Linked DNA regions of Coturnix japonica. The protein of the gene in region 2 binds, or shares a complex with, the protein of the main gene of each other region. Links are inferred from orthologs where the notes say so. Each region holds a gene or a part of one and is shown on either strand. Other genes may lie near its edges.

Region 1 (3,746 bases), on a different chromosome or scaffold from region 2:
CATGAAATATATTTTTTAAATCATTAGCTCTTAAGTCAGTAATTTGCCTCTGGAATTGAGCAGACATTCCCTTTTGGTTGAAGCTCCAGAACCTGCTCATGATCCTATAGCAGTTCAGACATGCTACCATTTTCAAAGGGTTAAGTCAGCCATGGCAGCTAAAACCTGCTGCTGTGCTGCTGGAATTGCTGCTGGAACTTGGAATGAAAGACCAACAACCAACCAACCATCCAAACAACAACGACAACAACAAAAACCAAGTGTGATGGGACTGAAAATGAAACAATACCAAAGATTTCAGTGCTTTCCCAGCATCTCAGAAGGCTTAATACCTCAAGAAATGGAAAACATAAGTCTGGTTGATAAGTGGGTATCCTCTGCCCATCTTGTCTGATTGTGACTTGCAGAATTGGATTTGCTTCTACCCTCAGTATTCTGTTGTTGTTTACTAAATGATCTCCCTTTGGACATGAAAAATGCATGATAGGGAAAAAAGCTAAAATGTCGAGATTGGTCTGTCCTGCAGAGCTATGTGGTCTCCCTTTATACCAGAGATGGAGAATTGGCTCATAAGCCTAGGAATACCCTTTTCAAGAGACAGGAAGTATGAAATGAATCAAGAGAAATGATTGTAAAGGAAATCTGGGGGAGGAAACAGGAAAATGGTAAAAGACAGAAATTAAGTGACAAAAAGAAACACCAGGTAGAAAACTTTCATCAGCACTGCTGCTGTCCTAAGAAAGAAGGTGAGCAGATTGCAGAGGAGGAAGTAGTCTTGCCCTACAAATATAGTGTGACAAACTTGTTCCTCATTGTATGGCGACAGAGCTACCCTGCTGCAACTTGAGGAGTCAAGGCTTTGAAGATAAACTCATGAGTGTACAAAAGTTAGTAATAAGCAGAAAAGTAAGGCTGAAAAAGAAGTACAATCATTTGGTATGCTTAGTATGCTTAGAATTAACACACGTCCCTCTTTCCATGAATGCACTCAGTCAAGGCACTACCACTGTGGACGCAGCTGAAGGATAGAAAGGGACAGGAGGCAAAGAGAAGGGCAAGGTGATGAGTTGTGCTGGGAGTCCTGGGGCCTTTAGGTGCTGGGCAGCAGTCGGACGCTGCCAACACCGTACACCCGGAGAGCCGCCATCACGGCCGCAACATTGGCTGCTGCTCCTGTCCATCATCGTTCGTCATCGCTGAGCGACGCGGGGCATGTCGCTGCCGGCTGCGGCCCGTGCTGCTGTCATGGCGGCGGCGCCCGGCCTGACGGAGCTCGGCGAGCGCTCTCCGGAGGCTGGAGCCAAGCTGGTGGCCTCGGAGGTGGCGAGTAGCGCCCTGCGCTCCCTGGCCGGGCTGGCGGGGCAGGTGAGTACAGGGTGGGAGGAAGGGAGGACCGGGGCCGGGTCAGCCGTGGACCCGCTCCTGCTGTACTCGCCTTTTTGGGCGGGCATCTCTGCTTCTCTGTCCGTGGGACTCTTCGGGGATGGGTTTAAAGTATAGGGAGAAAATTCTGCAGTAAGTAAGGGAGGCTGTCATGTCTGCAGGTGACAACGGGAACGGTGGGGTTGCGTGCGTGGTACTGTAGGCTGCTTGGGGTTTTAGTGTTGATGAATTATGTAGCAGATAGCGCGGCAGTGGTGGGAGGCTCTTATCGAGAGAAGCTGCCAGTAACAACTTAATAATTGCCATCAATAATTTACAAGTGAACTCATCTTCCTTCATGGAAGCACAGATGTCTTTCTGTGGAGGCAATAGAAGTGCAGTCGTGCTTTTGCAGTTAGATGGCAGTTTGAAGGTCTGGCGTCAGGTGGTGAGCTTGTGTCTTGGGGAGGTAATAGAGTTGATATTAGAGCTGCTGCATGCCCTCAGGAGGATTGCAGTAATTATGGAACAGAATAAAGGTTTTGGAAACACTGATATTTGGAGTGTGTTCTTTGTGTGACAACTTAAAGCCCTTTCACTGCATGCTGTGCTGAACGATGGGTGGGTAGGGGTTTGGTTACCTGTCTTAGCTGTTGTGACTCTTCAGATTACTCACTCAAAGTCATTTCCAGCTGTCCAGTTACATTCTTACCTGCCAGCATTTGAGTTCTGGTAGACTAGTGATGTTTTAGCAGCTTATCCTCTTCAGATATCCATCTTGCACTTCTGACTGATGCTTCTGGTCCCTTTCTCCCCTGTATTGAGATGGTAGAACGTTTGCCAGGTCTTCGTCTATCACAGTTTGCAATCTGTCATAGCAACTTAAGCAAGATTTATGCCATCAAGTTGCACTGGAAACAGGAAAAATAAATGTGTGTATATATGTATATATAATATATACACAATGTATGTATATATGAGCAATATATATTGAGCAATGACTTGCAGTGCAGTGATTAGAAGGACATCTGAAGATAACAACTCTTGAAACCAATATGGCAGATCCTGAAAAGTTACTTTAATCCCAAGGGATAATTTGTGAAGTTTATAAAACAATTTCAAAGATCAGGAATAACTTTGATGTAAAATAGTGAGAAAAATAAGTGTGCAGTGTTTGAAATGTGTTTGGTTGCAGGAGGAGTTTGTCCTTTACTTAACAGTGTGTGTGAGTTTATCCCCTGCCTCTAGATTCTAAGTCAGAAGGAATTGTTTTTCACATTGCACCATACGACTGTAGGATACAAGAAGGGGGCTTACTAGGCCATTACAGCAGGACATGTATTTTGTCTGTTACGGCAGTGTACCTCTGTAGCTGTTTATCCTATCAGCGCTCTGTAATGTAGCATGTATTACTCTCAAAACTTTGGGAGGAAATACTTGCTTCGGATAGTGCCCTTTAGATGATCGCCCAGTCACAGATGTTTGACTTGTAAAGTGAGGTTTTATTATACCAAATTCTTAATACATTCTTATGTTTCTGAGGTTTCATAACAATTATTTACTAAAACATTATTTTCCTTGCCTCTTATGTAGATTAAGTACTAACTAAGAATAATGTTTGTGAAAATTATCTAAAATACATTACATATCCAACTAGATAAAAACCATGATTCAGTTGTTATTTTGTAGTGCATTGGAAAACAATGCAAATCTATCCACTGTTCCCCTAGGTACTTATTTTTTTGTCTCTAAAGGCCAGTAGATCTTCCATCTCTTTTGCTATGTAACTGATTTGTAATCTAACACTGGATTTATCAAGGCTGATCTTTGACTAAAGAACGAGGGATCACGCTTGTCCTTCTTTATGTATGATGTTGCAGTATTGCTTGGTTCGAAAACTGATGTAGAGCAATTTCAGGTTCTGCTGCTTTGCCTTCAGTGTAATGGAAACATTCTTGATTTTATTTGTTTCATAATATGTTGTGCTATGAAACAAGTACATATGCATTCCGCGTTCATAATATTTGGTGCTGTTGCAAGATAGTGATTTTTAGACTATGTGTTCAAGGTCAATCTTATCACGGATGTGATACTTTTATTTATTTATTTATTTATTTTAATATGGCAGGAATGAGATGTAGATGTACAGATTTGCTTGTGACTTGGGATTCTGCATCCAAAACAGAGCACTTGTATATCCTGTTGATTTAAAACCGTTGTTTTATCTGTATTTATGATTTGGGAGATTGCTTAGGGGATATTTGGTTGGAAAACAACCTGTTTGGTGTGTGAAAATGGAAGTGTTTCTCCTTTACAACATCTTATCAGGAAAGCTTTAGTGTAATGAATGTGTCATAGAGCTGTGTGGAAGTACGTAATTAATT
Region 2 (3,746 bases):
CTCGTTCACCAGCTCCATGGGGATGTCGCCCATCACGCGGATCCTCTTGGCATCCTCCAGTGTCAGGCTCTCAGGCAGCTTCCGTTTCTCCCCTGGGGCAGCAGCAGCTCGTCGGGCAGAGCCCCCATTGCTGGGCCGGAGCCGTTCCCATTCCCTGCACTGCCCTACCTGGCAGAGGCTCTGGCGTGCCAGTGTCCATGCTCGTGGCCAAGCTGCTGCTGCTGAGCTTCTTGCTGAAGAGCGGAGCGCTGGGCACAGTGACGGCACTGACGGTGGCTGCAGGAGAGCAGGCAGCCGTAAGTCTGAGGAATCCCCATCCACAATGCAGCCGTGACAGCACCGGCCCAGCCAACACCCCACGGTACCTGGACGTGACACCAGCTGGGCGCCCTCCGCAGCCGGCACAGTGAAATCTGCCTCCCATATGGGCGAGTTCTCCCCGTAGATCTCCTCCTCCAGCATGGACAGGAACCTGGCAGCAAGCAGCACACCGAGCTGGGTGCACACAGCTCCATGGGGAGCACAGGGGAAACGGCCGCGCAGACGGCAGCCCCGCGCCTGGCACCTACTTGGGGAAGTGGGTGAGGATCAGTGTGCGCTTCTCCGGCACCAGCTTGTCCTTCTCCACACGGAACTTCTCCAGCAGCTGCCGGCGGGTGACGGTGAAGATGGTCTTGAGGAGGCTGCGCCCAAAGACGTGCGTGGTCTCGTAGCGGGGCAGGCTGTCGCAGCTCTGCGGCACGTGGCAGTAGCACAGCCACCTGCGGGGGACAGTGCTGGGATCCCCCCTGCAGCAACACTGCTGGGAGACCCCCATGCAGAGGCAGCCCCCCCTCACCTGGTGTAGTTGACTTTGTAGGTGGCCACGTCGTCATTCTGCGAGCGCTGTCGGAACTGTGACGGCGTCTCCAGCTTCCAGTAGTTGAGGCAGAGCAGGAACATCTTGGAGAGCTCGTACATCGTCTGCCGCTCCTTGGGTGGGAGGTGGCTGAACTTGTACTGCACGAAGTTCAGGACCCCCTGGGGGAGAGGAGTGGGTTGGAGGGTGCCAGGGCCGGGGTCACTGCGCCACGGAGCCCAGCTGGCAGCAGGTACCTCCAAGATCCAAGCAGGAGGAATGGAGAGGTGGCAGGAGCAGAAGGGCCACTGCTGCCACCAGCACATACACACACACACACACACACACACACACACTCCCTCTTTTTCCACACAGTGACAAAGCTGAAAGCTCCATGAGTTTGCAGCACAGCACGTGGGGTCACCATGAAGCCAAATTGCTGCTGTGTCTGCTCAGTTCAGGGTTTTCAGCCCTGTCTGCCCACAGCCCAAGTCTCCAGCACAGCCCACAGCCGCCTCACCTGCTCGATGTTGGGTTTCTCAAAGGGGGGGCTCCCCAGGGACCCCTCGACCACCGGCTGGCTCATCTGCAGGATGCATTTCCTGAGGAGCTGCAAAGACCCCACGGGACACGTCAGCACCTCAATGCCCGCTCCCTTCCCAGGAGATCAGACACAGCAGCTCCGCAATGGGGCTGCACGGAGTGAAGCTGCCCGCAGGTGGGGCAGAGGGCAAACAGGACAGATGGACGCACCTTGAACAGGTAGAAATAGACCTGCTTGGTGTCCGTGTCCTCCTCCTTGTGCACCGACATGAAGAGGTTCTCCACGTCCACCACCATGCCCAGCAGCCGGTTGATCTCCTCCTCCGACACGTTCTCCAGGTGGGACACATGGTCGGCTGCGGCAGAGACAGCACGTGGTGAGATGGGGGTGGGCGCAGCGCCCCACGGTTGGGGGTCCCAGCGCCGTGCAGCCCCGGGGCTGTGTGCGGTTACCCAACGCGTGGCCGCAGCTGCGGCACGGCTCGCTCAGGTTGGTCACCGGCTGCTGCAGGTCCATGCGGGGGGCGGTGGGGGGGTTGGGGTTCTTCCAGCCGTTGCACTTGCAGGCATCGTTCGCCTGCGAGGAGGGACGGGAGAAACCATCGCACAGCCCCGCACAGCTCCGTACAGCCCCGCACAGCTCCGCACAGCTCCGCACAGCCCCGCACAGCCCCGTACAGCCCCGCACAGCCCCGTACAGCCCGGTACAGCCCCGTACAGCCCCGCACAGCCCGGTACAGCCCCGCACAGCATCACACAGCATCACACAGCCCGGCACATCCCGGCACATCCCGGCCCTCGGCGCCTCCGACCCCTCCAATCTCATCGTGCTGCTCCCCCGCCCCGCGCAGCCGGTTGCCCCGCGCCCACCTTGCAGGCCGAGAACACCCCCAGCTTCTCCAGCTTCTTGCCGCGGGGGAAGCCCCGCACCTGCGCCTTGCGCTGACTCGCCCGTTGCTGTTGGCTGAGCCCGGGCCGCGCCGGGTCGCTGGATCCCGCCCCTCCCGGAGCCGCCCCCCCGCTCCCCATCCCGCCGTTCGGCGGCGCCGCGGTTCCCGGTGCCGGTGGCGGCCTCCCGGGCTGCGCGGCCTCCGGCTCCGCCATGCCGGGCTCGGCGTGCGCTCCGAGCTCACTGCGCCTGCGCGCCGGGCACGCCGGGAGCTGCTGCGGGCGGCGGGGTGGGATGGGAACCGGGATACCGGGATACCGGGATGGGGACCGGGCAACGCACCGACGGAGGGGCGGGATGGCGGACGGGCACAAAGGAAGCGCCGCGGGATGACCATGGAGCCGCCGCTCGGAGCGCCCATCCCGGGGCTGCGCCGGTAACGCGGAGCCGACGCTCAGCGCGGAGCAAACGGGGGTCGCCGGCCCGGGGTCCGGTACCGGGACCGTGGGAACGGATCCGCCGCGCCGCCAAACACGGAGCGCGGCGTCACCCACAGCCGGGAAACAAGGAGCGGCCGGAGCCCGAATGTCCCGACACGGGGCGGCTCCGCCCGCAGCACCGGGGGGGCGGGTTTGGCCGAACGTCCTTCGCGGGGCGCCGCGCAGCGACTGGAACGTGCGAGCAGGGACGGGACGGGGCGGGGGGAAGTAATGGGGGGTGGGGAGGGGGGCGGCTGCTGTCCCCGCCCGGCAGCGCGGAGAACGTCCCTGCGCCTTCCCGAAGTGTCCGGCGCTGTCCCGGGGCGCTCCCCGTGTCCGTGTTGTTGTGCACGAGTGGCAGCGCTCCCTGTCCGTCCTCCTCCACCGGGGCGGGGTGAGGAGCTGCCGGGGATGCGCCCTTAGGGCGCAGTGCAGCTCCCGGGGTGACCGACCCGCCAAATGAACAAAGACACGAGCCGTGTATGTAAAAGTCAAGGAAGTTTATTACATATCAAAAATAAACCTTCACGCTTTGGCCACAGATCCCCCCCCGCACCGGGCTCAGCCCGGCCCCGCGCTGCTCCATCACGCCTTGGCTCTCTCTGCTCCATCCTCGGCGTTGGCCGCGGGCTGAGCCGCTGCTGCCGGCAGCTGGATGGGCACGTTCCTCTCGTTGGGTGGCGGCAGGGCCAGCCGGGGGGCCTCGATACGCAGCTGCCCCTCGCTGGACAGGGAGCAGGTCAGCGCCTCGGCGTCCACCTCCTCGGGCACGTCCCACTCGCGCTTCAGCACCTCGTACTTGTAGGAGAAGGAGCCCTTGTCGTCCGTGTTCTGCGTCTCCTTCTGCCCCACCAGCACCACCTTCCTGCCCACCACCTTCACCGACAGCTGCTCGGGGGCGAAGTCCTTCACGTCCTGGCAGACGGAGAATCCCTCCCCGGAGCCCTGGGTCAGAGCCGCGTTGCTGCTCGGTGCCCGCTCGATGCTGACGCGGTTG

What was found. The genes of interacting proteins can lie anywhere in the genome.
Region 1: KAT2A (region 2) and MBIP share a complex: the UniProt entries of both Homo sapiens proteins name them as parts of the ADA2A-containing complex. The link is inferred for Coturnix japonica from reciprocal best matches to the Homo sapiens genes KAT2A and MBIP.

What each region holds. Positions count from the first base shown.
Region 1 is NC_029520.1:33,103,731-33,107,476, reverse strand, and holds the start of MBIP (MAP3K12-binding inhibitory protein 1), read left to right. Parts: upstream 1-1,191; 5' UTR 1,192-1,212; coding exon 1,213-1,365; intron 1,366-3,746. UniProt on the Homo sapiens protein: Inhibits the MAP3K12 activity to induce the activation of the JNK/SAPK pathway. Component of the ATAC complex, a complex with histone acetyltransferase activity on histones H3 and H4.
Region 2 is NC_029542.1:4,445,693-4,449,438, forward strand, and holds the start of KAT2A (histone acetyltransferase KAT2A), read right to left. Parts: upstream 2,513-3,746; 5' UTR 2,486-2,512; coding exon 2,252-2,485; intron 1,959-2,251; coding exon 1,835-1,958; intron 1,738-1,834; coding exon 1,592-1,737; intron 1,449-1,591; coding exon 1,359-1,448; intron 1,021-1,358; coding exon 839-1,020; intron 762-838; coding exon 570-761; intron 473-569; coding exon 366-472; intron 277-365; coding exon 169-276; intron 93-168; coding exon 1-92. Other genes in the region: heat shock protein 30C-like, read right to left, coding at 3,335-3,746. UniProt on the Homo sapiens protein: Protein lysine acyltransferase that can act as a acetyltransferase, glutaryltransferase, succinyltransferase or malonyltransferase, depending on the context.